2 linked regions of the Ovis aries genome follow. The protein of the gene in region 2 interacts with the protein of the main gene of each other region in a biochemical or structural test. Links are inferred from orthologs where the notes say so. Each region holds a gene or a part of one and is shown on either strand. Other genes may lie near its edges.

Evidence for each region.
Region 1: the proteins of LMNA (region 2) and EMD form a complex in vitro, tested with the Homo sapiens proteins (4 studies listed by BioGRID and IntAct, with this or other methods). The link is inferred for Ovis aries from reciprocal best matches to the Homo sapiens genes LMNA and EMD.

The regions. Positions count from the first base shown.
Region 1 is NC_056080.1:80,065,133-80,080,075, forward strand, and holds EMD (emerin), read right to left. Parts: upstream 8,177-14,943; 5' UTR 8,053-8,176; coding exon 7,971-8,052; intron 7,873-7,970; coding exon 7,765-7,872; intron 7,598-7,764; coding exon 7,520-7,597; intron 7,331-7,519; coding exon 7,197-7,330; intron 6,726-7,196; coding exon 6,679-6,725; intron 6,597-6,678; coding exon 6,260-6,596; 3' UTR 5,857-6,259; downstream 1-5,856. UniProt on the Homo sapiens protein: Stabilizes and promotes the formation of a nuclear actin cortical network. Stimulates actin polymerization in vitro by binding and stabilizing the pointed end of growing filaments. Inhibits beta-catenin activity by preventing its accumulation in the nucleus.
Region 2 is NC_056054.1:106,143,301-106,157,685, forward strand, and holds the end of LMNA (lamin), read left to right. Parts: intron 1-6,195; coding exon 6,196-6,352; intron 6,353-7,651; coding exon 7,652-7,777; intron 7,778-8,060; coding exon 8,061-8,231; intron 8,232-8,434; coding exon 8,435-8,560; intron 8,561-9,351; coding exon 9,352-9,572; intron 9,573-9,665; coding exon 9,666-9,888; intron 9,889-10,293; coding exon 10,294-10,401; intron 10,402-10,507; coding exon 10,508-10,627; intron 10,628-11,018; coding exon 11,019-11,108; intron 11,109-11,890; coding exon 11,891-12,163; intron 12,164-12,449; coding exon 12,450-12,476; 3' UTR 12,477-13,373; downstream 13,374-14,385.

The sequences.
Region 1 (14,943 bases), on a different chromosome or scaffold from region 2:
ATCTCCCAGGTGTCTGAAGGACAGGATTCTAGAAGGCCTGGCTGGGGCTTCTGGCCTGGGGTCCATCACAGGCTGCAGTCAAGGCTTCTCCGGGGCCAGAGCCCTCTGGTCTGCCTGGGGTGTCGGAGCGGGAGGGGGGTAGGCTCTGCTTCTGGAGGGTTCACGGGGCTGCGGCAGGGGACGGTCCCTCCCCACCGGGCTGCTCGGGTCAGGCCTTCCCCAGATCCAGCGATCTCAGAGAGACAGAGCAGCCCCGAGATGGAAGCCAAAGTGTTTGTCTCATAACTCACTCCCTCGCCTCTGCTGTGGTTTTATGGTTCACACTGGTCACCCCGTGGAGAAGAGAGCAGTACCTGCGTGGGCCTGGGTTCTTCATGTTCGTGCCGCATGAGAAGCCTCCAAGGAGTGTCCCTGCCCCTGAGCCCGGGTGTGGGACTCCCAGGCTGCCCAGACCCCTCAGGAATGTGTCGTTTGTGGAAGCAGGGGTGGCGGGTTGCAGCCCGGAACCAAGCCATGCCAGGTGTGTGTTGTACAGGCAGAGTGGCTTTTCACCTTGAAATGGTTGCAGACCAAACACACGGAAAGCCAGAGAAAGAGAGACCATGTGATGATCCCAGCATGGCCCGCAGAGCCCGTGGCGTGTGCCCTCTGCCCTCCTCCCAGGAGTCCGCAGCCCGAAGGGCCATCCCAGCTGGTGGTGCAGCCCTGGGCACGGGTGCAAAAGCTTTCTCACCCTGGCAGCCCGTGCACGCCACGGCTGTGCAAGTGCTCAGGCCTGAGCCCCGTGCTCTCTGACCTCCGAGGCGTCCCCACCCTGTGGTCAGCCCTGCCCGCAGCCCCTCCTTCTCAGGGGCCCCCCGTTGAGGGGGTGAAGGCTGATGAGCCCCTTTTCTTCAATGACTGTGCCCGGTAGCCCTGGGCTGGGCTGGTGCCAGCCTGGGGTGGCAGCTGAGTGTCCCGTTGGTCCCAGGAAGGCGCTCCCGCTGTGCCCATGGGGGACGTGCCCACCGCCCCACCTCCTGGCTGGGACTGAGACGGGACTCCTGGTGACACGCTTGGTGGCTCTGAATGTGTCATGCAGCTTCTGTGGGCGGTGAGGGCTCCTCCTGTTGCCTCTTGCTTCTGGGCAGTGCTGGGGCCCTTGGCGCAAGCTCCTGGCCCCGTCCATGGCCACTACGCTCTTCTTGAGCCTGAAAACCCTGGCCTCGGGAGAGCCGGGCTCTCTGTCTCCGTCCCGGGGCAGAAGCAGAGGCTGAGGCTGAGCTTGCGGGGCCTGTCCTCGGGGATCGTGGACGTGGCTCGTGGGGCAGGATGTGGGGCCACTGCAGGGTCCTGGGGTCTCCTGGAGAGGCTCAAGCCCCCTGTGGTCCCAGACTCCTGGGCCCGCTGACTGTTCCCCTATGTAGAGCCGCCTTGCAGCCCCTGAGCCCCAGGCACAAGGACCGACAAGGGGCCGGCTGCCCTGCCATCTTTGCCCTCCTCAGGCCTGCCTTCCTCAAGCCTGCCCTCAGGCCCAGGGCTGCATGGGCAGTGTCTTCCCTCTCCTGCCTCCCAGGCGCTGTGGCTTGCGGAGCTCCTGCAGGTACCCGCCTGGTGGACGGGCACAGTCTGGGCAGCGGCCCAGCCCTGACCCCGCCCCACTGTCTGCCTGCCCCGGGCTTCACCCTCGTCCTCGTCCTCCGCCCGCCGGGCATGATGGTGCCTGCCCTCAGGAGCTCAGGCATCTGGAGCAGCCCAGCCTCTGCCAGTGCTGGGTCCCGGAGTAGTCCCCCTCATTCAGCCCTGCTCCCTGGGCTGAGGCCTCCCTGGGCTCATGGGGACCTTGCAGACATCCGTGGCGAGTGGTGGAGCTGGCTGAGGCCAGCCTGATCTCTGAGCAGCACAGCGTGCCCTTGCCGAGTGCATAAGTCCTCCTGGGGGTGCCCCTGGCCTGTGGAGGAGGCTGCTGTAGGTGGCGGGCCTTGTCCTCTGGGGACCTGTCCACAGCTGGGACGTGGAGCTGGATGATACACACACACAGCTTGGACGTGGACCTGGATGATCCACACAGACGCACAGATGCACACACACTCGAGTTCCTGGCGGCCAGTATCCATTATGCATGTTTGCTGACTGTTACTTGTCCACAGCTGGGACCTGGAGCTGGATCACACACACACACACACACACACACACACACACACAGGCACACATGCATGCACACACACACACACACACACACACACACACTCGAGTTCCTGGCGGCCAGCGTCCATCACTCTTCACGTTTACTGACCCTAACATATCAGCTGCTCCCCCCTTGGCTCACTGCCTCCGTCGGGGTTCCAGTGGGGTGCCCATCAGTGCCCTAGTCCTGCGCCCTCGAGTGGGGTGTGGCTGCCCATACTGGGGGCCGTGCAGGACTTCCAAGGGTCTCTAGACCTCCATCGCCATCATTGAAACACCGAGGCTCTCTCTCTGTGGGTGGGTGCCGTCCCATCCTGAGGGGCACTGTGCCCCTCGCTTCACCTAGGTCCGGCCCACCCTCCTGGGGGAGCGGGCACAAGGGAGAGTGAGGTGCAGGGGTGCCCCGGGGCGGGGCGGGCCGGCTGTGGTGTGGGAGTGATCAGCTCCCCCATCCCCCTGACTCAGAGCAGACAGGACCTGCAGGATGCAGGGGCCACTCCCCACAGGGTGACCAGACACCCCCTCCCCAGGCTTAGTAGGGAAGAAGGGCCCCGGCGGGCACCTGTGGCTGGACCCCTCCTCTGCTCCGGGGGGGCCAGGTCTCATGCCGCTTGTCCCCAGCAGATGGGCTCCTGGTGCCATCTGCGTGTCCTCCTCTCCAGAAGCCCTCCAGAGGTGGCGCCCTGTCTCGCTCCCTCCTTCCCCTGCCTGGTCGAGGCTCTGGCCTGGTCTGGCCCGTGGCCTCTCCTCAGGGCTGTCCTCAGGATCGTTCCCCCTACACATTCCAGCTTCTCCTCTTGCCGCCCTGCAGGCCTCATGACCATCTGGGTGCGATGTGTTATCCAGGGAGGGGACAGGACTCCTGGTTACACTCTCCTCTGGGGCCATTCTCCCTCCAGGGGCCCCCACCAGGCAGGCTTTGAAACCCGGGATGGCAGGGTAGACTGATGGCAGGGAGGACCGTCTGCTCTTGGCAGGCTGGTCCAGGCAGCAGGCAGGAGAATCTGGGTGAGTCCAGGTAGGGGATTGGTGCCTGATGGGCCGGCAGAGGTGAGAGGGGGCTTTCTGGGAGGACCTCCCTACCTGGCTCCCCCCAGTGGTAGGGGACTTTACTGAGCTCCTGCCTGCCCTGGGGAGGGGCTGGGGCTAGTTTCCAGGGCATGGGTATGCTGAGCCTAAGGCCAAAGGCCAGCCCCAGGGGCAGTAACAGTGACACCCTCCTTTTCTTTAGTTCCTTGGGGAGGTTCATCCTCGTGGACCCACGGGCTTGTACCCACAGGCTTGTACCCACTCTTGGATGGCTGCTTCTTCAGTGCTGGGACTAGCCCAGTAGAGTGGTCAAGGTCGGAGTGGTCCTAGATTGTGAAATGCTGTCTGCTACTTCCCCTAGACCTGGGGGCGGGGGGAGGGTGCGGCTGATGTCAAGGGTGGCATCAGGAGCTCCCCCTGCTTGCCATACCTCCCGGGCACTTCTCTCTGTGCTCCACCAGGGATGCTGCTCAGGCTGTCTGGCAGGGTCCCAAGCTACCAGCTCAGTTGCCTCATCCAGGGCCTCCTAGGCTCCTCCATGTCTGCCAACCACCACTACCATCCCCCGACTCCGCTCTGGTGGTACCTAAGATGGCAGGAGATGTCCTGCACGCTAGGAAGCTGCTGCCCCCTGCTGTGCTCCCAGTACCACTGCAGCCCATGGTCCAGGCAGGAGCCTGGAGGTTGGTCTCAGAGCCCTGGAAAGCCCTAGGTGGGGACTTGGAAGCCTGATGTTTCTTGGGGGCTCACGGAGCCCTCAAAAGCTTTTGGCTGGGGTGCCCAGAGCACTTGGAGGCATTCAGGCGCCCTTATGGGGGTCCAGGGCCTTGGAAGCAAGGCTAAGCCTGGCGGGAGTCTGGAGGGAGGTCCAGAGTCCTCAGGAGAGCTCTCTGGGAGGAGGGTATCTCAGTGCCCTGGAGCAGTGATTTTGAAGCAAGGCCCTCAGAAACCCTCCGTCTGGTGCATGGTGATCAATGGATGTCGTCACCCATGAGAAATAAAAGGGGGAGACTGTGTCACCTGGGAGGCAACTCTGTCTCCCTTCAGACACAGCAGTGGTTGCCAAGCACATCTAGCCTCCCCCTCGGCCCTGCAGATGGACGATCTGAAGCCCGGAGGGGACCATTCCGTGCAGAGGCCATGCCATCTCTCTCCCCTTCCTCCCTGCAATCCCTCCTCTCCACCAGGACCCCGTGGGTCTCCCGCTGCACAGCCACCCCCAGGAGGAGCACTTGAGATCACTTGCCGAAATGAGATGTTGCGCCATGCCCCTGTGGAGTTCTGATGCCCTGACGATGGGACTCCTTGTTCTCCCACCCTCCAGTTCACTAATTTGACCACCTGCCCCTGTGGTCACAGATGAGCAGGCCACACCTCTTGCCCATGCCCACCGCCCACCACGGAGCATCCGTGTCTCAGCTCTTGGTCTAGGATGGCATGAGACAGATGCTGGGGGCTCAGGGGTGTCCCGGCCACAGTGGACTGGGTGCCACAGGAGTCAGGTGGGAGTGCCTAGCAGCAAACGAGGGAGGCTGGGGCTCTGGGAGGGGTGAGAATATGAGAAGCCATTTCTTTTTGGTGTATTTGAAATGCACAAAGAAAGCCTGTTGGTTTTAGGAAAACGCCCACCCCATCCCACCCCATAAAAGTGCGGAGACTAGGATGCAGCAAAAAGAAGTGTCCAGAAGCTTTGGTAGAAAGGTTCCAGTCTGGCCCTGAGCAGAGCTTACCCAGCGGCCATAGACAGCGGAGAGCCCCAAGGCTCAGGAGCCCATGGTGCACGTGCAGGTGAGAGGGCAGGCCCTGCCAAGTCCTGCCACCTGTACGAAGGAGCCCGTCAGAGCTGAGATGCCAGGGTCCCACCCAATGGTGGCCCAGGGGGTGCCTTTGCTTCCCTTTTGTGTGCCTGTTTCTCCAGACTTTACTGCCCTCTACAGGCAGTGCGGAGCCCAGACGAACAGTGTGGCATTCTACCCCATGTTTCCTTAGCACTTGATGTTAAGTGAGTGAAAGTCGTTCAGTCGTGTCAGACTCTTAGCGACCCCATGGACTGTAGCCCGCCAGGCTCCTCTGTCCTTGGGATTCTCCAGGCAAGAATACTGGAGTAGGTTGCCATTTCTTTCTCCAACTCGATGTTAAAATCACATGTAAACTGTGAAAATTGTTAAATGCCCACAGCAGAAAACCTTGTGGTAATACCCAGGTGAGGAACTGGTTTACTAAAAGGAGATGAAACATTCCAGAGGACTGAGAGCCTTCCCCTGTCATTAGACAACCAGCCTTCCAGCAGCCCATCAAGCAGATGCCTCATTTCCTTCCCATCACTCTGCCCTTGGACACCACAGTTGGTGTCTGCTGGTCCCAGTTGAAACACCCAGAACTGACACGGTGCAAGCAGCCTCACCTGCGTTTCCCAGTGGGCTCTCTGTGTGACTATTTTTTATAAGCACTTACAAGAGCTTCTGGTAACATGTCAGGGAGCGGGCACCAAAAGCAAAACATAAATGAGTTTATGGGTTGCCTATGATCCCTATCTCAGGCTCAAAGGACGAAAGGATGAACTGACAAAGTTGGATGGCAATTCTGGAGACCCAAGGCCTGGAAGCCTTTAGCAGGGGGGCAGCCCAACCCCTCCCCATGTTAAAGAAAAGAACCCACACATTAAAAATAAATGGTCTTTTATTGTGTCCACGAAAACAAACTCAGGGTGGCCTTTGGTTAATCCCCCCATGAGGTGACGACAAATAGGAGGCATGCGATGACCAAAACCATGTTCTCCTCTCCAGGAGAAGGGTCTTGCCCTCCTAGGCCCGAAGGGTGACAGGCAAGCAGGGCCAGGAGGATCCAGAGGCAGGCCCACCCAGGTCCACCATGCCGCAGAGGGCCCAGGCCTGCTGCCTCCCTGGCAGGACAGGGCAGGGGTCAGCAAACATTGCCCATGTCCTGGTAACCCCAAGCTAGAACACACAGAAAAGCCCCAACCCCCCTCCCCCAACAAACACTGATAAGGCAGTCAGCCAGGGCTTCCAAGAGGAGCCGGCCTCCAAGGTACGAGGTCAGACCCTTAGGGCTCTGCCCAGAAAGGGTTGCCATCCTCGGCCTGCATGGAGTAGTAAACAAAGAGCAGGAAGGCAGCAAAGACCAGGAACAGCAGCACCTGGCCCCAGAGCGGGACCTGGCGATCCTGGCTCAGGCCGGCAGCCCCAGGGGCCTGCTTTTCAGGCCGGATGGCTCTGCGGGTGAGCCACGAAGGGGCCGAAGATGAAGATGAGGACACACTCGAGGTGGAGGAGGATGTGGGATAATAGGACAGGCCCAGGGAGCTTCTGGAGATGTTGGAAATAGGGCGGTAGTGTGCAATGTTCTGGTAGGCACTGTCCCGGCCATACAGGAGGCGTTCCCTGAGGCAAAGAGTGCAGTAGGTAGACCAGGAGGGCTTGAGTCCTGAATCAGCCCCAGCCCCTGGCTCGCCTTAATACTCACCGATCCTTGCCTTCCTCTTCCAAAGAGAAAAGATTGTCATCACGGACCTACAGAAGTGAATCAGAATGAGAATACCTATTGACAGGGTCGGTGTAGGTATGACAGGTCATACCCTCAGTCCAAACTGCCCTTCCCAGCCTGTTCTGAACACTGATTAAAGGCCTGGGCCCTGCCACCCTCCAGACCCCCTTCTTGGTCCTCAGCCTTATGTCTGCAGGGCCGTGCCACTTGTCCCGGCTGCCTGCATCCTACTTTCTGCCCCAGAATTCTCAAAAAGAGCTCAAACCTAGATCCCAGACCAGAGCCAGGGCACGTCCTGGGCACACTAGTCAAAACAGTTCTGACAGCCCCTTCCCCCACCCCAAAGGTCTTGACCAGGCAGGTGTCTGCAGGCCCCACCTCTCCCTGGAGGTTTCTGAGCCACCATTTGTGCCCAGTGGTTCCCTTGACTCATCCAAACCCCATGAGGACCCCCTCAGGTTGTACCCAAGTACAGGGTGCCCGACAACTCAGCTCACCTGGCGGTGAAAGGGGTCAGCATCTGAGAGTGAAGCTGAGGGCTGGCGGAAGCCCTTGGATGTGCCCATAGACTCAGGCTCCCCGTAAGTCCTGGTGGTCAAGTAACTCTCCTCATAGTAGTCATCATTATAGCCTTAGGAAGGGGGGGGCAGCGGTAGCAGAAGGGGCAACGGTGTCCCCACCTGGCCCGATGGCCCTAATCTGAATCCCATTGGGGGGGGGGGTGCTGCAGGGCTACTGCAGGACGCATGGGGTTGAGGTCTCAGGTTCTGGCTGACACTGGAAGGAAGGTGTCAGAGTGCCCACCCCACCCCTGCCTTACCCTTGCTCTGGTAAAGTAAGGCGTCCTCTTTCTTGGGCAGATCATACATATCCGAGTCCACGGACGCCGAATCTAAGTCTGAATGGGGGAGGGGCTAGGACCATTGGCCCACAGGGGTCCCCTCCCGTTTCCCCCGCGCCCCTTCCAGCCAGTGCCCTGGCCACACCCCCGCGACCCCTTCCTCAGCGTCCCCCAAACCGTGTCCCCAAGGGCGGCCAGGCGGGGCCCTGGGACGGGAGCCTCACCCGAGAACCGATAGGAGAAAGAGGATGCGGACGAGCTCGGGGGCGAGAGCCTCCGCCTCTGGGTCTCATACTCGAAGATTTTCTTTTCGTAGAGCTTGCGAGTGGAACCTGATCAGACGCGGGGCACAGGGCGGTCAGGGAGCGGGCCGAGAGGGGGCCGCGGGGCTAAGCGCGGGGAGCGGGCCCGCCCTCCGTCCACCGCGTACCGACGACGGGCCCGTGTGGGATGTTGTACTGGCGCAGCACGGCGGCCAGCTCGGAGTCCGAGAGGACTGCGTAGTCGTCCATGGCGGGCAGCGGGCGGCGGAGGCCTGGGGGAGGCCTGGGCCTTGCAACACCGGCCGAGAGACGATGGCCTCGGAGCGCGGCAGGGGAAACAGGAGTGCCTCGGGAGCGGCTACGCGCGCGTCACGCCCGCGTCACAGTCTCGGTCTCCGCGGGCAGCGCGCGCTGTGCGGAGCGGGGCCGGGCCTCGCAGAGAGCTGCCAGCGCAGATTGGTGGAGCCTCGCGAATGGGCGGGGAGGGGCGGGGCTCCCGAGCCCAGAGACGTCACACGCTGGCGCATTTAGGGCTGGACCCCAGCGAGGGGGCGGGGCCTGGGCGCGACGGGAACTAGCTTAGACCCGCCCCGGCTTGGGAGCGGGGCGGGGCCCGCGAGCCGCGACGTCACCCGCTCGGCTATTTGGGTCAGAAGGGTGGAGGGGCGGGGCCTGTGGCCATGCAACCGGCAGAAACTGGGCAGGATGCGGGAGCTGGGCGGGGCTGCGCGCTGGGCGGGGCTCGCCCTCCCTGAGTCACGTGGAGTCCGCTCGGTCTCAACTGCCCCTCTGCTCCAGCAATTGCGGGTCCCTGGCCGCGCCCCAGGCGGGCGCGTCGCCGGCGGCTGCGAGAAGGGGCCTGATCCGAAGGGGCAAGCCCTTGGAGAGCACGGGTCCAGACTAGGCGCTGCTGCACGCGCAGTGCGCGCGCGCGCCACACCAAGGAAGCCTGTAGCCACCTGACCATAAACCGCCCCCCAGAGCCCCAGACCCCCTGCCCCAGCACGCCTTCCCGCTCTGCAGGATCCTGGCCTGCGCCCGCCGGTTCCCACCGCCTCCCTCCCTCCCCTTGCACCCCAGAGGAAATGGGGCACTGGGCCAGGAGGCCACCGGCCCTCCAGGAGCCAGCAGCCTTGGAAGGGGCCCGGGCATGCCAATGGGCACTGGCATGGGGCGCCCTGTGATGCCGAGATGGCGGGTGTCTGCCTCACCCACCGGCAGTGCACCAGAGGCGCGAGGGGCTTCCCCACCGTGGCTGGGATGGCCCCTGAGCCCAGCGTGACCCAGGAGGCTGCCAGAGGGACCTGCCCCAGGCTTCCGATAATGCACTCTGAGCACCTGGGTCTCAGTGGGCTTCAGGGTCGTGGGAGTGCAGAGGGAGCCTCCCAGACAGGGGGGCCAGGGGACTGAGGGGGGCAAACCATGGAAGGCAGCCAGGGCCTGTCACAGGGAGTTGGTGAGAGCCTTGGTCAGGAAGAGCTGTCCCATGAAAATTAGGAAGAAGATGACAGTGACATTCTAACAAAGCCAGCCAATGGAATGAGGGGAAACTTAAGTGCCTCTCCCGGAACTGAGATGAAGGCTGGCAGACTGGCCCAGTTGGTGAGGGTCACAGCCTCGGTCTCAGCAAAAGTTCCTTCATGGGGTGGAGAGAAGATAGGGCCCTGGTTTAACCACATACGAAGCCCCTCCTCAAGGTTGCTGTTGGCCAGGTTTTAGAAATGAGGCTTTCTCCATCTCCCAAAATATGAGGGCCCCACGCATGCATGGTCGGATGAGGGGCAGCGCCCCCAGGCAGGGCAAGGGTCTTGCTGCTTATCTCTGAGCAGGGAGGGAGATGGCATTTGGGCTCTGGGCTCCTCAGAGCCGGCTTCACGGAATTTGGAGTTTGGGCCAGATCAGATTCCCCAGCACCTCTCTAAGCCTTCTTTTGCAGTGCTGGCCCCTGTCCCGGAGGCCAGCCTCCCCTTGCCAACCCCCGCCCCATACAGACCCAAGCCGTTTCCTTATGAGGTCAAGGAATTCTAAGTTTGCCTTCTCCTCTGGGAGCACCCCCTCCCCGGCACCTGCCTTGGCCCTTTGCCTTTTATTTCCCTCTCCCCCAGTTGCCCCACTATGAGGTCCCACCACAGATGGCACCACATGGCTGACCTGTGATGGTCTCCTGCACATGAGCCCACCTGGAGCCCCAAGCCAGCCCCACTGCAGGCAGACCTGTCTCAAACCACTAGAAACCAGGCAAGCCCTTGACCATCAGAGCTGAGAGGCCCTTGGCACTGCCACAATGACATCGAGGAGGAATTAAGGGCCCAGAGAAGGAGGGGACTTATACAGGGGCACCCAGGGCAACAATTCATTCATGGATGTTCCCCTAGCCAGTACCTAGCCCTCGGGGTCATAACCTGGACAGCGTGGCCCACTGGGGATTCCGAGTCAGCAGAGGAGCTGTTAGTGGAAATCTGGGGCCTTGAGGGGAGTCTTCCTGGGAAGAGTGGGCAGAGTTAAAAGCAAGCATTTCTTTGGAACTTTGGCTGAGGCGAAAAGGGCTTGGAAGCCACTGATTCCAAGTCAGTAACAAGACAGTTTCACCTTTAAGGACTAGGATTCTAAGCAATAGATTATGTAACTTGTGATCCTAGCAACATCAAAAAATGTAAGGAAAAGTAATATCAACATGAATACATTTTTCAACAGGTCCAAGGAGACATTCACTGAGTGATTAATGTTTTAAGATCAGAACCTGAATCCTTTGGTACAATACAAAGCTTACTTTTTCCCTTTAAGGATGTTAAAGATCCTCTGGGTTTGGCCTAGCAGTCGAATGCTTTAAAACATGGCTCAGATGGTAACAAAAGTTGTAAGATGGTGACTAGTGTGAAAATGACCGTTTGGAAGGTTGTCACAATCAATATATAGCAGGGAATGGTTAGCTGACCAAAAACCTCTCAGGTGACACCTTGTGTTCCAGTCCTAGGACACGTCAGTCTGCCTTGGGACAGTCGGCATGGCAGCAGGAATGGAGCTGCTTCTAGTGCTTTTGTGGAACCTTCAACACAAGGTGATGGTTTAGTCGCTAAGTCCTGTCCGACTCTTGAACCCCATGGACTGTAGCCCACCAGGCTCCTCTGTCCATGGGATTTTCCAGGCAAGAGTACTGGAGTGGATTGTCATTTCCTTCTCCATCAACACAAGGAGCAAAAGCCTTTGTTAAAATCTTTTACCAGGGAAGAGCTGGTGCTATATAAACCTTCATTCCCCCCAGACCTGGAAAAGTAGAGACCCTGAGTTGCATGTGTCTCAGGGGTGTGGAGGGAGGGGAGAGAGAGAGTAAAGAGAGGATTAAAACGGAGGTGGGGGGTCCTGAGATCCAGCCATGAAGCCATCACTTCCTTTCTGCTACCCCAGCTATTGTACACTGATTCCCATTGCAATGCCTCTGGCAGGTGGGTGTCCCTCCTTGAAGGATAGCCTTGGCCATGAGCTACCTTGTGGACCTAAACTGAGACTGCTCATCTATCAAGGGAGGATAACCCACTGCCGTGAGGGGCGGAGGGGTGGATCCCACTAGATGGGGCGGGGAGAAACAGAGACCGAGGCCACTGCTAGGCGATCTCACCTGGGGTCAAGGTGGAGAGGTCATTGCCAACAAAGGCAGCAGTGGCTGCGGAGAGGCCTGGAGGGCAATCAGTGCCTTCCTGTTAGTGTGCAGCTGTAGATATCAAACTACGTTAGCAGGTGACAGCAGACTTCTCCTTTCTTCCCCCCTGTTCCTTCCTGCTTCTCCCCTTTTGCCTCCCTCCCTCCCTTCTTTTTGGAGAAGGAAATGGCAACCCACTCCAGTGTTCTTGCCTGGAGAATCCCAGGGACGGCGGAGCCTGGTGGGCTGCTGTCTATGGGGTCACACAGAATCAGACACGACTGAAGCGACTTAGCAGCAGCAGCAGCTCCCTTCTTTGCTTTTTCTCCTTTAATGAAGTAGAATAAAAGAAGAAAGATCAGAGTGCTTTTCAGGTGGTAAGGGACAGTCTCACTTCGTGGAACGTTTATTTCAGCCATTTGTGTCGATCTGCGTGTGTGCCTGCAAATATTGGCTCAGGATGTAAGATGCAGTTCTTTGTGGGGGTTGTGGGCACAGTGAGAAGACACTGCTTTGTGTGGCTTTCCCCGAGGAAGTGACATTTGAGCTGAATACGACGCTGTTAATACCAGGAAATGGGCACACAGAAGACGAAGAGGGAGCCTGGCAGTGCCAGGGTGTGGCTGTGCCCACCTAGTTCCCCAGACGCTTGGCTCCTCGGCTGCACCCCACTGTCCATGCCCAGGCCTCAGGACTGCAGCTAACTGTGCTGCTGAGAATTCAGTCCACTTCTGTTGCTTGCTTCCAGGCCAGGCCTGGCACTGGGCAGGGGCCAAACCCATGCCAGCCCGGGATGTTGTTTGGCTTGTCTTGGGGCTCAGGTCCCTGCCCCCGTGCAGACTTTCAGGTGGGAGGCTCTCAGTGCATACCTGCTAGAGCCTGTTGCACTTCCCCCTCCAAGGTAGAATCCAACTAGTCCGACCAGCCCCAGGCTTGGGGTAAAGGTAGGGGGGCGGCGCAAGACTGGGCAGCTCCCTGGAGGAGGTGGCCTTCGTTGCTGGGCCGAGACGCAGGCTCTGCAGACCCTCCGGGCCGCCCCTCCCCGTCAGCAGAGGGTGAGCTCATCTCAACGGGGGTAGGGGGGCGTCGCCGGCTGCCCAGGCGCCTGAGCTCACGGCGCGCCCCCGCGGGGCCCCCCCTCGAAACCCCCCCCCCGCCCCGCTCCTGGGTGATTTTTACCAATTAAGGCTTTCTCGTCGGGCCGAGTCGGGCCGGGTGCGGGGCGGGGGTGCGGCCAACAAGAAGGCGGGCGGCAGCGGCCCATTCGCGTGGAGGCGCCCGGCGCGCAGCAGACGCCAGCAGAGCCCCGAGGCGCCAGGCGCGGGCTCGAAGATCTGCCAGGCGCCACCCCGCGGCCGCCGGCCGCCCGCAGGGAGAGAAGGTGAGGCGTCCGCGGCGGGCACCGGGCGGAGCGGTTGGCGGGCACCGAGCAGAGTGGTCGGCGGGCAGCTCACGGAGTTGGTGGTGGGGTGCCCGGGGCCAGCTGCAAGCCGGGGTGTGGTGGTGCAGCCGCCTTCCCTGGTTTCCTGGGGAATCTGGGTCTGGCCCCGCAGTGTGAGAGCCCAACAGCCATGGGGGTGCCCTGGGAGGGTGAACTGGGGGGCAGGTCATTGCATGACTGTCCAGGAAGGCAGGGCTCTGAAGCAGGACGTTGTGTGGGGTCAGGGCGAGAGGCCACCTGGAAAGACACTTTGCAGCCAATATGCCCCCAGGAGGGATGTCGACGGTCGGTTCCTCCCTGACATCAGTGCTCTGGGCATTGGCTGCGTTGGGTAGAGGTGTGGGGCTGGCTTCTGGGCTGCTGCGCTCCACTGGGGCGAGGGCACATGGGGTTGGCCATGCTAGATTCGAGGCTGGGCCCTGTCCCAGGTTGGCTCTGAGCTGGATGTTCACTGCCAGGCAGGATGTGAAGGCCAGCCCCCCACCCCCACCCACCCCAATTCCTGGGCCAGGAGGAGTAGGTGACGGCCGCTGGGAGACCCACCTGCACGGGCTCCTAGCAGCGCAGTCAAGGTGGGAATTCAGCCCTGGAGCGTTGTCAGCCTGCCTGCCACACCTGGGCTTGGGCAGCCTCTCCTGCCACCCTGTGCCTCTCTTTCACCAGCCGTGGGAGGGCCTGGCTTGGGGTCTGAGGGAAGGAGTTGGGGTGGGAGGCGGGGTGTGTCTAACAACATCCAAGAAATCGACTCCAAATAAGGGAAAATATGAAAGAGCTGTATTTCAGCTTCCAGGGACTGCCCTATCTGGGGGCTTTGGGATGGGGCGCCACCTGGTGGTGATACTATGTCCCCTGGGGACAAGAACTCGTTAGAGCCCCATCTCTTATCACCCCCCAAATAGGGAAGAAGCCTAAGGCTGGCAGCCAGGGCTTCTGTCCCCCTTTCTGCTGGAGTTGGCTGCTGGTTACTGACGCTGACTCAGTTTCCCTGCTCTCTGCAGATTAAGAAAAGAACACAGATAATGCAACTGGATGGCACTTGTCAAGTGACAATGAACTCTCAGTATGATTCTCTCCTTGGGGGACTGGCTCTTCAGGGGGGCAGGGGATCAGAAGGATGGCTCTCATCTCTGCTTGGGTGGGGCCTGCTAGGGAGGAGTCTGCACGGGTCCCCCTCTACTGCTGTCACTCCCACCTCCATCCCAGTCCCCAGACACCATGGTGTGGAATTTTGCGCAGGTGTGTCTAAAGTGGTCAGGCCTTTAGACTGAAAAATGTCACTGGTGAGCAAAAACCAGTGTGGGGTACCAGGCAGCCCCAAAGAGAGCATGCTGGAGGCCAGGTGCTGACTGCAGCCCCACTGTGGGTGACACAGTCCCCAGGGCTGTGAGAGTTGGCCTTATTTGGGCATGCTGACCTAGGGGCTTCTTTCCCACTGGTCTTTAGCAGAGAACTGAGGTACTGCTAGTAGGAAGCTCGATCTAAGTACGAAGCAGGAGGGACAGAGACATGCCTTTCTGGGGGAAAAAAAAAAAAAGATGTGAAGAAGGGAACATCCTGCAGAGGGGAAGGACACAGGACCGAGGGAAGTGAGTCCACTCTGGGGACGAAGCCACCAGTAGGCTGGCTTCTCCAGACTGAAGAAGGTGGCAGTGACTGTCCCTGACAGGCCTCTTGCTTCTGTGCCTTTGTTGGTCTTAGTATCCCCCCCATAGTCTCCAGTTATCTACAAGAAAATGTATTTTGAGCGAATAGGTCCCCAGTACCCAGTCCTGGCTCCACGGCAGGCCCCAGCTGCCTTTCATGGTTTGCCCCCCCTCAGTCCCCTGGCCCCCCTGTCCGGGAGGCCTCCTCTGTTCTCCCACGACCCCGAAGCCCACTGAGACCCAGGTGCTCAGAGTGCATTATCGGAAGCCCGGGGCAGGTCCCTCTGGCAGCCTCCTGGGTCACGCTGGGCTCAGGGGCCATCCCAGCCACGGAGGGGAAGCCCCTCGCGCCTCTGGTAGACTGCCGGTGGGTGAGGCAGGCTTACCCGCCATCTCTGCATGCATCGCATCACAGGGCA
Region 2 (14,385 bases):
TCTGATGACACTGCCACCCTCTGCCGGCTGGGAGACAGCGTTGCATCTTCCAAGGCTGGAGCTGGAATGCAGCGGGACCAGAACTCCTAGGTCCTCCCCAACTTCCTTTCTCCATCTTGGGGTGCGGCTCCCACCTTCCTCCTGCTGTTGTCAGGGTTAATAACCGTGAGCCATCGGATGGAAGGTTAATACGTCCTAAGAAGGGACAACTGAATCGCTTTCTTGTAGGGATGTCGGCCAGTGGCCTCCCTCCCTCCCACACCCAGGACCTCCTACTTCTTCCTAGACCATCCTTCTCCCCTCCATGCCCTGACTTCTTTTGGTCTGTTCCAGGCCTTGGCCTGCATTTTTATGACAACACAGGAATGATTTCTGGAGAGACAGGCCAGGAAGAGGGAAAGTGGAGTTTGGCAGGAGGGAGCGGTTAGTCAGGAAGCCCGCCGCCTGTTGTCCAGGACCCCAGCGCACCGGCCTCGGACTGCAGGCCTCTCCGGCTGCTGCACAATGCCACGTTGATACACCCAGCAGCTGTGACTCAGGCCTGGCCCTGCGCCAGGCCCAGCGCCTCTGCTGGAGTTGCGTCTGAACATGTCAACAGGCCTCCTGTCCCCCTTCTCAGCGCCAGCCAGTTCCCCCATCCCAACCCTCCCTTTGCTTGGAATTAAGACCTGGCTTTGTCTGGGGTGAGGACAGCTGGGAGCCTAGCAGCTCTGGAAGGGGAACCGAGGGCCCTCGGACCCCGAGCATATGTGGTGGATGTCACGCCCAAAGGAGGCGTGCGGAAGCAGAGCTGTGCCTGCTGTGGGTGCACGTGCCGGGGTGGGAGGGGTGGGGGCGGGGATCCATACTGGGATCCTCCCGTGTACTTTCCAGGTGTGAGACATTCAGACCTTCCACAGGGTGGCATGTGGGGAAGGTTCAAGGGGCTTCTCAGTCCCTAGAACACCTGCCCCTCTCAGTGGATCTCCTTAAGGTCTCCTTTCCAGAGAGGGCTGGGGCCTTGAAAGCCAGATTGCGGAACCAAATGTCCCTGCCCTTCCACATCCTGCCCATACCTGAGAGTGATGGCAGACTCACAGACCAGCCTAGAAACCCAGCAGTGGTTCCTCCTGGGAGAGGGAACTGCGGAACCTCATGGCTCCACACACAGCTGTGGCGCAGCTGATGTTTGAGTGCTCTTTTGCTAGGTATCTGTGTCATCACTTGGGTACTAGGGTGACTCCTGGCCATTGAGCAGAAGCCCAAGTGCCTCCCGGACACTCTTCCTGGGGGTTTACTGCCTACTTTCTGCGAGCCCTGCATGCATCGTGCCATTTTCTGAGCCTGTCTCCATCTGCTCCGAGTGTCCTCAGGTGACCGGGAGGGCAGGGTTTTAGGGTCTGAGCCTACTCTTCTGCAGGCCTCGGTTTCCCCACCTGTAAAAGGGCAGGAATTGTTCCAGGAGGTTCCCCCTTAGACACCTTGAACATATGAATCTTCTGGCCTCAGGGCATTTGGGGACATACAGAAAAAGCCGCGAGACACACTTATAACTGGAAAGAGAAGAAACCAGCACGTAAAACAACAGCTGAGCGGACTTGGAAAAGGAGAGAGAGGTGTGGCTGGGTCTGGAGGCACAGGGCTCAAACGAAGGAGGCAGGTGTGGGTTTGGATAGGTGGAGGGAGGGAAGAATACATTGAAGTGGGAGGAGTTGCTGGAACAAAAGGAGGGTGATAGGAATGTGGGGGCCCGGCGTGGGGTGGCCACAGGATAGACCCCGTCACCTGGCAGGGAGTCAGCCTGGGAAGAGGTGTACATGTCTGGGAGGAGAGGGGAGGGCTGGGACTCACTGCTGCACACCCAGTCCTGCTTTGCCCTGCCCAGCCACAGGGGGCTCCCTTTTTAGTGAGGCAGGAAACGCCAGGGCCTCGGGGTCTCGGTGCTCCCGCCTCCCCTCCCCCCTCTTCTCCGCCCGTCGATGGGGAACTCCGAGGGCTGGTGAGCCTGGGGCGTGGTCAGCGAGGGGACTGGGGCGGTCTGAGGGCGCCCTGGCGGGCTGGCCAGGCTCTTCCACTGCCCCTGTGGCCATCTGCCCCGCCCACTGATTATTTTTAGCCCCAGCCGGCTGTCTCTGCTCGCCTCGTGTTCCTCAGCCCAGCGGAGGAAATGGGGGCCTTTCCCTCGGGGCCTAGCAAGTTGCTCCCAGCAACCCGGCCCAAACAGGCCTGTGGCCGCCCTGGCTTCCATATCTGGCATCCGAGCTGGGCTGAGGAGGCTGACTCAGCCGGCAGGTCAGCGCCTGGCGCGGTGCCCACGCAGCCCCTTTGCTGCGCCAGGCGCCTTGCTCCCCCCCCCCCCCCCCCCCACCCCCGCCCAAGAAGCCCCTAAAGCCCTGCCCTGCAGTGGCCCTGAAGCCCGGCTCCCCTATCCCTCCAGCCTCTGCCTAATAGCACCCCAGCCTGGGAGCTCCCAGCTCTCGTGTGTGTGTGTGTGTGTGTGTGTGTGTGTGTGTGTGTGTGTGTGTGTGTGTGTGTGTGTGTGTGTGCGTGTGCGTGTGCGTGTGCGTGTGCGTGTGTGTGTGCCTGTGTGTGTGTGCCTTATCCTTTTCCTCTCTGCTCTCGTGTGTGTGTGTGTGTGTGCGTGTGCGTGTGTGTGTGCCTGTGTGTGTGTGCCTTATCCTTTTCCTCTCTGCTCTCCTGCCCTGCCCCACCCGACTTTTCCCGCCTTCTGCGATCAGATTTGCCAGCCGTGGGAAGAGTTCAGAAACAGGATGCCCAGCCCTTCTTGTATCAGGAGCCCACTGGGATGAACCCACTCCAGTGCTGGAGGAGCCTGGCGGATGGGAGGGAGAGAGTGGGCTCCCCGTGGCGTGGCATGGGGGCCTGGGCAGGACGTGGGTACAGCCAGGGTCTCCCGTGTGAGCACTAGAGGATTTCCTGACACCTGCCCGGGTATTGTCTGCTGGAGGATGAGTCACCTGTGGAGCCCCTGGGTCCCACCCTTCCCAGCTCCCCTTGCCTGCCCTACCCTGTTCTTCCTGCCAGCCCACTGTGGGGCAGCATGTGCCCAACTTTCCCATTGCTGGCCCCCAGTGGACTGGGGCACAGGCAGCACCGCTCCTTGGGCTGAACGCCTGGCCAATGTCTGCTTGGGATCCCTGTTAGGGCTGGGGACCCCGACTAAGGAAGCAATGTCAGTTGGAGCTAGTGGACAGGCAAGACTGAGGAGGAGGTTCGGGAGGCGCTGGCTTCTGCACCCCACCCCCAGCCATCTCTTGCGGGGTGCGTGTGGCTCCTGGCCACAGGGCTCCTGAGGTCTGAGTCATAAGCCCATGGGTGATAGCGGCTGCTTCCCCACAGAGGGGAGCTCCCGGAAAATGACTGAGAAAACCACAAAGGCTCTTCCTTGCTTACCTCTCTGCTCAAGTGGCTTCCCTCATCCGCAGAGTGTATGTCGGTCCTTTCCTTGCAACTCTTTTAATGCTAATCAGAGTCTCCAGAAGGGGAAGGAAAATCGCCCCCTTAATTTCTTTGGAGACCATTAGCAGGGCAGGGGGAGCCATCCGGCACCCATTCACACCTCTGCTCCCAGACTTGCTGCAGGATCCTGGAGGCCCCCTGGGCAGAGTTCTCTGAGCCTGTTTCCTCCGACACCTAGGACTAGCACCTGTCTCAGTGGGGAAGCTGTGGCAATTCAGTTAATACAGTTTTTAGAGCAAAGAATCGGACACCACTTGGTGGCTGAACAGCCATAACGTGTACACAGTCAGCTCTGTTTGCTGTCATTATGTGATTACCAGTATTAGTCCTATTAGCATTAATATGGGCATTACTACCACCCACCTTTGGGAGCGTCCTAACTGAAGAGGTTAGACTGAAGGACAAAATCCTGCAGTTGTCAGGCTGTGAGCCCCGGAGGGCAGGGACCATGCAGCTACATTTTCCTGTGTCAGTGTCTGCCTGGCACTCTCACAGGAAAGGTATTTCCAAGGAGAACTTCTGAAGTTTCTCCTCTGGGTCTGAGGAGGCCATGGAGGCGGGACTAGGGAAGAGACGCCCTCGAGACGTCTTCTGAAAGCGTCATGGTGCTCTGTCCTGCTGCTCCCAGCTCAGGCTGGCTGGATCGGGAGCCCTGTATCCTGCTGGCTCGGTTCTCTCTAGACCTGTGGCTGAGGAGGAGGAGGAGGAGCAGGGGGAGGATTCCTGATCAGCAGCCAGAATTGACTGTGACTCCGCCTGGGTCCCCGGAGCTGCATGCTGTGTTTGACATGGGGTCACTCACCTTCCTCCTCTGTGCCTCAGTTTCCTCATCTGTAAAAGGAGGGGGTTAAGCGGAACCTATGCGAAGCTCCTCCCAGTTCTCTTAAGTTCTGAGAGCCTCCCAGCCGTTAGCCTGCAGGGCAGGGAGGCCTGTTCTGGGAAGTCCCTGCCAGCCCTGGAGTCAGCCCAAGGAGCTCAGAATCTTTGTCTGCCGTGTCGCTTCACTTTACCAGCGGTTTTTCTTCTTCTTCTTTCCTCCCCCTGCAGCTGCCTCAGCTTCGGAAAAGTTCTGAAGTCATGGAAAGTTGGGGCTGTGCTCCCAGCCAGGGGATGGGCCGGATGGCAGCCAAAACCTGAGCTGGGTTTTGACTTTATTTTTAGCTTTTCTGGCTAAGACGGAGGAGGGGAGAGCTCCTTCAGGTCTGGAAGGGCCTCTTTTCACAGGAGACAGACACTCTTGCTCTAAACAGCTTGTTCTGAAATGTGGCCAGAGGCCTGGACAGAGCAAGGCTGGGGGTGCTCCCCCGAGATCTTCACGTCCTTCCCCTGCCTGCCGGGGTGGCACTCTGTCCCCCTCTCAGTGGACCCCAGTTGGAGGGGAGGTGACTCCTGATTGAAGACTTCTAAGCTAACGGCAGAAGCACACTGCCCCAGTCTTGGGCCCTCCGTCCAGAGCTTCTCCTGCTGGGCCTTCTTCATCCTTCTTAACACTGAATTGCTGGGGCTCCTGGAGCTGCAGGCTTGGTGGCAGGAGAAAAATGTTGGCGGGGCCACTTCTCTGCTTTCCAGGATAGATTTCTTTCTCCCCCTGCCCACATTTGCTTTTCGTTTTTTCCATCTGCCCAAGTGGGTTCATGCTTGAAGTCTGCTGAGTCGCAGATGGCAGCTAGGACTAGGCCCTTGGGTTCTTTCCTTCCACTCCCTGGGTCTAGTGCTTTCTCTCCCCACACATCGGTGAAGGGATCATTCCGACTGGGAAGTTCTTGCATTCCCCAGAGGTCTTTAAGAAAATAGGATCCGTCTATTTCTCCAGGTCACTATCCAGCAGAAATAATCAGGGGCCTGGGAAGGGAAGGGAGGTGGCAGAGGCCACCCCGTTTGAACTGGTTCTAGGTAAAGCTTTACCCAGTTTGAGGAGTGTGGAGGTTCAAGGCTGGAGCCCAGATGGATCTGGAGGCCTGGGTCACATCTGGAACCAGATGCTGGGCTTGTGGTCGATAGGTTGGGCTCAGCATTCTCAGGCTCTGATGAGGCCGAGAGAGAGGGAAGGCTGGAACCCTTGTGCTCTGCCCCATCAGGGGACCCAGACTGGGCCTGAGAAAGGGAAAGATCAACACAATGCCTGCTCGTCTTCATTCCAGGTCTCCCTGAGCTTTGACCAAACTTTCCCTCCCAGCAGTCCCTGGTGTGTAAAGGGACTAGGGCAGGTGACTGACACTTTTAGCACTCAAACTGATAAGCGTCAGGCACACTCAGACCCCAGGGCTAGGAGCCTGGCAGTCTGGATCCCTGCAGAGGAGGAGGCTGGGCTGAATGGAAGGTGGGTGGAGTCAGGGGGGAGAAGGTTAAGGCCCTAAGTGAGAAGGGGCAGGAGACAAAGGTGGTTCTGTCTCTTTGGAAAGGAATGGGAGGGGAGAGAGGGAAAAGCATTCAGCTCATGGGATTGAGCTTTGCCCTTGGCCCCAGGCACGTTCCTGAGCACTGAGTCATGGGAAGGGTGGAGAAGCAGGAAAGGGGTTTTGGGGGCCTTGGGAGAGTGGGAGTCCAGCCCCAGAGGCGGGCAGACGCAAACAAACCAGAGCCAAGGATGCCCTCTCCTGGCAGCTTGGGGGATAGCAGAACCAGGTCCTGCCGCTGACCTCCCAGGACCTGACTTCTCACTCTCCCTGGGAGACCTAACTCTGTCTAGGAACGCAGACTCCTCCTCTTAAAGCCACTCTTTTCTGGCTTTTTCAGCAATTCCAAGAAGGAGGGAGACCTGATGGCCGCCCAGGCCCGGCTCAAGGACCTGGAGGCTCTGCTCAACTCCAAGGAGGCCGCACTGAGCACTGCTCTCAGCGAGAAGCGCACGCTGGAGGGCGAGCTGCATGACCTTCGGGGGCAAGCGGCCAAGGTGAGGCCCACCCGAGACCCACCCAAACGCAGGCACCCTGCTCCCTGCCCAAACGCACACTCACTGCTCCCTCCAGGCATTCTCAGGAGGCGCCTGTCCCACCGCATCAGAGCCATTCCTGTGTCCTAGCATTGCTGCATCCATCCAGACCACAGTGCTTCCTCCTTTGCTCCCCATGGTGTCTAGCACCATGAATTTAAAAGAATCCACAAACCGTTTCCATCTGACTTTGAAATGAATTGTGCCTGGCCCTGGATCCCTCCCGTTTGGCCTTGCTATAGACAGCCGTGACCTCTCTGGAAGATCAGAGAAGAGTGTAGACTGTCCACAGAGCCCTAGTTGGGAGCTGATGGCTGACCATATATGGACGTATGTTTTTAATGTATACGATGGTCTTTACTTTCAAACACTTTGCTATCGATTCCAGCGTCTAGTCTCATGGTATAAGCTAGGGAACAGAATCAAAGAAGCAGGTTTGTTCCCAATCTGACCGCCACATCTGCTCAGAGTAAGGTCAGGACTAGAGTCAGCCACCAAGCCTCTGTCCAGGGCGCTCTTCCCTGCTAGGCCTTGCCACCAGAGTACACTGTGGAGAGACTAGGAGAAATCAGCAGTTTGGCCAGAAAATCAAGGCTGGGCCATTCTGCTCCCAGGCCCTGCCCCCAGCCCTTCCCAGCTGCACCGCCCAGGTTGTGCTTTCTAAGATGAAGATCTAGGAAGGGTGCACCCCTACTCAGGCTTCAGACGATCTTTTCGTGGCAGTAAGGGTGCGATCCATGGATCCATGGCCCAGCCCCTGCCTTCCAGTCCAGACACCTCTGCCGTCACTCTCCCCCCAGGGCTCCATCCTTCGGCTTCAGCAGTACTGAGCCTTCCGAAGCGCATGTGTGTGCTTTCGTACTTCTGCGCCCTTGCACTTGCTCCTGTCTGCCCACTTGCCTGTCCTTCAGATCTCAGACTCTGGAGGCCTTCCTACAAGCCCCCCACTACCACCCCAGGCACACTTTGGTCCCTTCCCTCATGTTCCTTCTGTACTCTGGGCATATTTCCGTGGCTGTAGCAAAATACAGCTATAGAAAGAGGAGGCACTCTCTATATTTTCATTAGCACAGCAACTCTCCAAGGTCATTACTGTGAAGTAGATGCGTCATCACCTCTGTGGGCATCCAAGGCTCTTGCTTCCTTAGGCCTGTTTCTCCACATACAAAGGGAGGTGCTGGACATGACCCCCTTCTCAGCTTCCTTCCAGCTCTGGTGTCCTATGACCCCTCTCCCTGACCTCTGTCCCCTTCCTCTCAGCTCGAGGCAGCCCTGGGTGAGGCCAAGAAGCAACTTCAGGATGAAATGCTGCGACGAGTGGATGCTGAGAACCGGCTGCAAACCCTGAAGGAGGAGCTGGACTTCCAGAAGAACATCTACAGCGAGGTGGGAACTGTGCCCTGCAGACCGGAGGACTGGGGCTGGGTGGTGAAAGATGTCAGAGCTGGGCTGGGGTATCAGCTGTGTGCAGAGCTCCCCGGCCAGGCTGGCTTGTTCTAGTGATGGGGAGTCGGGGTGAGGGCTGGGGGGAGTGGTGGCCAGCCCCCAGGTTAAAGCGGAGCTCACAGTGACTTTGTTCAGTGTTAGGATTGGGCTGGGAGCTCAGCCACTTGGGCCTCATCCTCAAAGGCCTAGTTCTGATTTTGGTCTCTGGGTCCACCCCTTCCAGGAGCTCCGTGAGACCAAACGCCGCCACGAGACGCGCCTGGTGGAGATTGACAATGGGAAGCAGCGAGAGTTTGAGAGCCGGCTGGCGGATGCCCTGCAGGAGCTGCGGGCCCAGCATGAGGACCAGGTGGAGCAGTACAAGAAGGAACTGGAGAAGACCTATTCGGCCAAGGTGCTCATTCTCCCGGGGTTCCCATGCTGCCACTGTCCCCAGCAGCCCTCCCTGCTGCCCTCCCTGAGATGTCCTGTGGGAGATCAGGTGGACGGGGCCCCGGATTGCTCCGGACCTCGGGCTGCAGCAGCGATGTCCTTCTCGGGTCCCTGCCTCCTTCCTGGTTGGTCCCTGCAGCCCTAACCCTATGTCCTCTCTCCCAGCTGGATAATGCCAGACAGTCAGCGGAGAGGAATAGCAACCTGGTGGGGGCTGCCCACGAGGAGCTGCAGCAGTCCCGCATCCGCATCGACAGCCTCTCGGCCCAGCTCAGCCAGCTCCAGAAGCAGGTGCTGCCCCGCCTCCCCCCCCCCCCCCCCCCCCCCCCCCACCGCCCCTCCCCTCCACCGCCCCTCCCCTCCCCCATAGGGCCGGCGCAGAACATGCCCCGAGGAGCATGGACTGAGTAAGAAGCCTGGGATTTGGAGCCACATGACCTGTTTGCTGGTCCAGGACTACCTCTTATCTCTTGATATTTACCTGCTTGACCTTCACTTCTCAGAGCCTAGGTTTTCCCATTTGAATATGGAGATCATTCCTGTCCTCCCTAACTCAGATCTGCCACAAGACTACAGTGTGAGGTGTTAAAAGTGGAAAAAAAAAAAGAGTGAAAGTGTTAGTCACTCAGTCATGTTTGACTCTGTGTGACCCCACAGATTGTAGCCTGCCAGGCTCCTCTGTCCATGGGCTTTCCCAGGCAAGAATACTGGAGAATGGGTAGCCATTCCCTTCTCCAGGGGATCTTCCCAACCCAGGGACTGATCCGGGGTCTCCTGCATTGCAGGCATAGTGAGGTGTTAACAGCATCAATATTGTCGCTGGCTGTGCCATTTGTAGCAGAGGAAATAGGTTCTAGCCTCAAGTTAAGAGATTTCAGTTGGATGTTGAGAAGGACTCCGCAGTCGCCAGCCAGCCCCAGCCACATTAGAGCCCATGAAAGGCTCTGATGGGAGCCTGAAGACAGGGGTGGGGGAGGGGGTGGGAGGGTGTGTGCCCCGGGGGGGTGCCCCACCCCTATCCCTTACCTCTCCATACTCGGGGACCTCGAGAGCTCACCAGACCCCCATTCCCCCTCAACCAGCTGGCAGCTAAGGAAGCGAAGCTGCGGGACCTGGAGGACTCGCTGGCCCGTGAGCGCGACACCAGCCGGCGGCTGCTGGCGGACAAGGAGCGGGAGATGGCGGAAATGCGGGCAAGGATGCAACAGCAGCTGGATGAATACCAGGAGCTGCTGGACATCAAGCTGGCCCTGGACATGGAGATCCACGCCTACCGCAAGCTCCTGGAGGGCGAGGAGGAGAGGTGGGCTCCGGGGCGGCAGGCGGAGGCCCCTTCCTCCTGCCGCCCGCCACCCGCCTTGACCAGGCCCCCTCACCCCTGCCTCCCCCTCCACAGGCTCCGCCTGTCCCCCAGCCCGACCTCGCAGCGCAGCCGAGGCCGGGCCTCCTCCCACTCGTCCCAGACCCAGAGTGGGAGCAGCGTCGCCAAAAAGCGCAAGCTGGAGTCCACCGAGAGCCGGAGCAGCTTCTCCCAGCACGCTCGCACCAGCGGGCGCGTGGCCGTGGAGGAGGTGGACGAGGAAGGCAAGTTCGTGCGCCTGCGCAACAAGTCCAACGAGGTAGGCCTCCCAGGTCGGCTTAGGGAGACGACCTGGACGGTGAAGGGGTGGAGTTTGCGGGGAGGGGGGTTCCTCACATCAGACCAGGGCAAGTGTGGGTATCTCCTCCACGCTCCGGTTCCATTCCTGGCCCCGGGACTCATCAGTGCAGTGAGACCTTCTTGGACAATGTATTTAACCTCTCCTAGCATTGTCATCTGCAGAACAGGCATGAACAATGGCCCCTAACTTTTGAGTTCTTGGGAAGATGGAAGGACTGAATAGGTCTGGTACAGCCTAAGTGCCCCTAGATGTAGCTGTTGTTTATCCTTGAAGGGGGAGAGCTGTGAGGGGAGGAATAGAAGGTGATAAACCCTCTAAGAGCCTGAAGTAGCCTCTCTCACCTGCCCCTTCCCTCTCGGGCAGGACCAGTCCATGGGCAACTGGCAAATCAAGCGCCAGAATGGAGATGACCCCCTGCTGACCTACCGCTTCCCACCAAAGTTCACTCTGAAGGCCGGGCAGGTGGTGACGGTGAGTGGCTGGGTGTTTCGGATGACCTCGGGTGGGGATGGGCTGGCCTGAGGCTGGGTGTGCTGGAGCGTGAGTGCCCTTCTCTAATGAATTCTCCATCCCCCAGATCTGGGCTGCAGGAGCTGGGGCCACCCACAGCCCCCCTACCGACCTGGTGTGGAAGGCGCAGAACACCTGGGGCTGCGGAAACAGCCTGCGCACAGCTCTCATCAACTCCACTGGGGAAGTGAGTGTGCTGCAGGCTGGCCTCTCACTGGACAAGGCTTCCCCCGCAGCCAGAGTCGGAGGCAGCTGCCCCCAGGCCAATTCAGGGCCGCTTTCTCCCAGGGCCCAAACTCTCCACCCAGAGATAGCTCCCCTTGCAGCAGGAGGGGTGGGGGTTAGACAGTGAGCATGGTTAAGGGCAGATCATGCTCCTATCCAGAGACCTGGACAGCACGTCCCTGGAGTAGAAACAAGTGTCTTACCTCCAGCGCCCCGGAGGACAGAGCAAGTGGCAGCCTGGACGGGGGGCAGAGCGCGAGCAGGCTCCTGGAGGTCACTGGGGTGGGTATGCTGCACACCCTTTCTCCGACCTGCAGCCCCTAACCCTCAGCCTTGTCCTGTGTCCGCGGCAGGAGGTGGCCATGCGCAAGCTGGTGCGCTCAGTGACCGTGGTCGAGGACGACGACGATGAGGATGGAGACGATCTGCTCCATCACCACCACGTGAGTGGCAGCCGCCGCTGAGGCCCAGCCCACGCCAGGGCACCCAGCCCGGCCTGGGGACACCCTCTCCCTGGCCTCCCCCTGCCAAAAAATCTTTTCATTAAAGAACATTTTGGAACTTCACTCGCTGCCCTGGCTTTTCTTCTCTCTCCTCCCTATACCTTGAACAGGGAACCCAGGTGTCTGGGTGCCCTACTCTGGTAAGGAAGGGAGCGGGAACTTCTGATGCCACGGAGTCTTCCCATGGGAGCGGTGGACAAGAGTCCGGATTTATCCCCCGGGCGGGGAAGGGAGGACAGACGCGGGGCACGCAGCCCTGCCTCTCTCCGCCCACACTTCTCTCGCTTGCATCTCCTTTCTTGTCTCCTCCTCATCCTGGTCACGTGCATGGCCTCTCGTTTTCCCCATTTTTCCTGGGAGAAGGGTCTCTTGCACCTACCCTCCTCCCAATTAATTTTGCATGCCTGCCGCTCTACAAGCTTGCTGACTCTCTCTCCTTTCCCTCTGAAGCTTAGAGTAGCTAAGACAAGAGTCAAAGCCTGGCTCCCGTCCCCTGCCTGTCCCCAAGTCTTCCTGACCCTTCCTCCTGTCATGTCCTTCCCTTCCCCTCTTCCCAGCCCAGGCTCCCCACCCCAAGCCCTATACCACCCACCAGTTAGGTTACTTAGGCGCAGAAGCCCACCTTTCTGCCTGGACCCTGCCGGAGCGCGGAGCCTGGGTGTTGGGCCTGAGCGGTCAGTCCCAGACTCGCCGTCCGGCCTGAGCCTTGTCTCCCTCCTCAGGGCTCCCACGCAGGCAGCAGCTCGGGGGACCCCGCCGAGTACAACCTGCGCTCGCGCACCGTGCTGTGCGGGACTTGCGGGCAGCCCGCAGACAAGGCGCCTGCCAGCGGCTCGGGAGCCCAGGTGGGCGGATCCATCTCCTCTGGCTCCTCCGCCTCCAGTGTTACAGTCACTCGCAGCTACCGAAGTGTGGGGGGCAGTGGGGGTGGCAGCTTCGGGGACAGCCTGGTCACCCGCTCCTACCTCCTGGGCAACTCCAGACCCCGAACCCAGGTGAGTCGGCCCTCTGTCTCCAACCCCCGGCGGGCAGAGGACCCTAGTCCTCCAGGGTTAGGGCCAGGCTGCCCTGTGGGAGGGAGAGCCTTCTCTTCCGCAGCCCGGGGGAGTGGGAGCCTCCTCCCCGCAGCCCAAGATCCTAGAGAGCGGCTGCTGCTCCTGCGTCCTGCCCCTCCTGTCTGAGCCCCAGATTGGAGGGCAGGGGCGGGGCTGGGTTAAGAGGGGAAGGGAGGGTTGGCCAAGCACTGCCACTCACGCCGCTTCCCTCTCTCCTCTCTTTTAGAGCCCCCAGAACTGCAGCATCATGTAACCTGGGACCTGCCAGGCAGGGGTGGGGGCGGAGGCCCATGCTTCTTCCTCACCTCATGCCCACCCCTGCCCTGCGCCTCACGGGAAGGGGTTCGAAGCCAAAGAAAAATACCCCTTTATTTTTTCTTCTATGTTTTGTTTTTTGTTTTTCTAAGAGAAGTTATTTTCTACAGTGGTTTTATACCGAAGGAAAAACATAAGCCAAAAAACCCCGCGCGCATCTCTCTCAATTCCCCCCCTTTTCTCCCTGCTTCCGAGAAACTCCGTATCTGCCTTAAAACCAAAGAGGGAGCCGAGGAGAGGGGATGCTTTTACAAAGCCTCGTTTCTGCTTTTCTGCCCTGCCCGCCACCCCCATCCCGGGGACCCCGTGACATGGTGCCTGAGAGGCAGGTGTGGAGTCTGCTCTGCCAGCCTCCAAGGGAGGAGGGCTGAGCCTCGCCCCTGGGCCAGCCCCCATCGTTCCACTACCCCCCGCAGAGGCTCCTCCGCCTGCCCGCCCCCGCCCCCCCTCTCCCCAGCCCCGGGGTGACTCGATTCTCCCAGGTCCCAGCTGCGTTTGCTTCTTCTGTATGTTATTTAGACAAGAGATGGGAATGAGGCGGGAGGTAGAAAGGTAGAATAAGGTTAGTCTGAGCCTGCCTTCACCTAGCTTTAGAGCCAGGGGTGGGCTCTGCCCAGTCACTGGAGGTCGATCAAGGTCACGTGGGTGTAGGGGAGGAGGGAGAGGGAGGCCTACTAGGAAAGGGGAGAGCCTGCTGGGGCCCCACCGAAGGGGAGGAAGGGGAGGAGGTGTGGAGGGCTTGCGGCAGTGGGTTTCGGCAAACACTAAGGAGCCCCTTGCCTCCCGTTTCCCATCTGCACCACTTCTCCCTGAATCAATACACTAGTTGTTTCTATCCCTGGCTGCCGTGGTGTCTTTGTTGGTGGGTGTCCTTGTGTGTTTTCTGAGGGTCCCATACACATGTCACTCGGTCACCTGCATCGTCACGCCGCCCAGCCTCCCCCTTGCTCTAGGGAGACAAAGACCGCAGAGCTTCAGGTGCACAGCTGGGCACCCAGCAGTGGCTGCTGGGGAGACGCTCTGACATGAGCATTGCCCACCCAGTGCAGGGCTGTCTCCATGAGTCCCGCAGAGAGGCAGAGCCTGAGGGCAAGCATTTCCTTCCTGACTTCCTTCAGCCAGCACTTAGCGAGAAGCTTCTTTGTGCTAGACCCTGAGCTCAGCATGAATACCAAGACACATGATGATACAGACCCAGTCTGAGGACGGGTGACTGTCTCAGGACCCGGGGCAAGGGCAGATGGGGAGGAGGGAGTTAGCAGGAAAGGGGCAGGACTGACTTTGCAAGCACGCAGTTAATGTCCGTCTGCGCAAGACTGTGCTCACCTCGGAGACAGGGAGATGGACAAGACCGTGTACTCAGTGTTCTCAGGGATCTTACACTCCAGTGGACTGCTGGGGACAAAGGTATAGGTCAGGTGGAGTCGGAGCCTCAGGGGGAGGCCTCTAATGTAGGGGAATGGGGAAACCAGACTGAGGGAAAGGACCTCAAGCAGGGAAAATGAGCTACAGGGACCAACCCTTCTCTGGCCCTTTATAGGTTCCAAAGCATCTCTGTGCTATTTCATTTGACCCTCTGCTGTCTTGACAGGTGGTTATTGTCCCCTTTGTCCCTGGAAATGGGGGCTCAGAGTTAACAAGACCACACAGTTACTAGATGGCAGAGAGAACCCAGGGTCCTGGCTGCAGACCCCTGCTTCTGTGACATTATGCTCCCTTCTGGGAAAACAAAACAAAACAGTGATGGTAAAATATAAGTTTGCGTTCCCTGTGGCAGATGAGTTGAGCCTGCAGTCAAAAGTTGTGAGAAAAAGAGCATGCCTGGGGCTGTGGGAAAAAGAATTGGA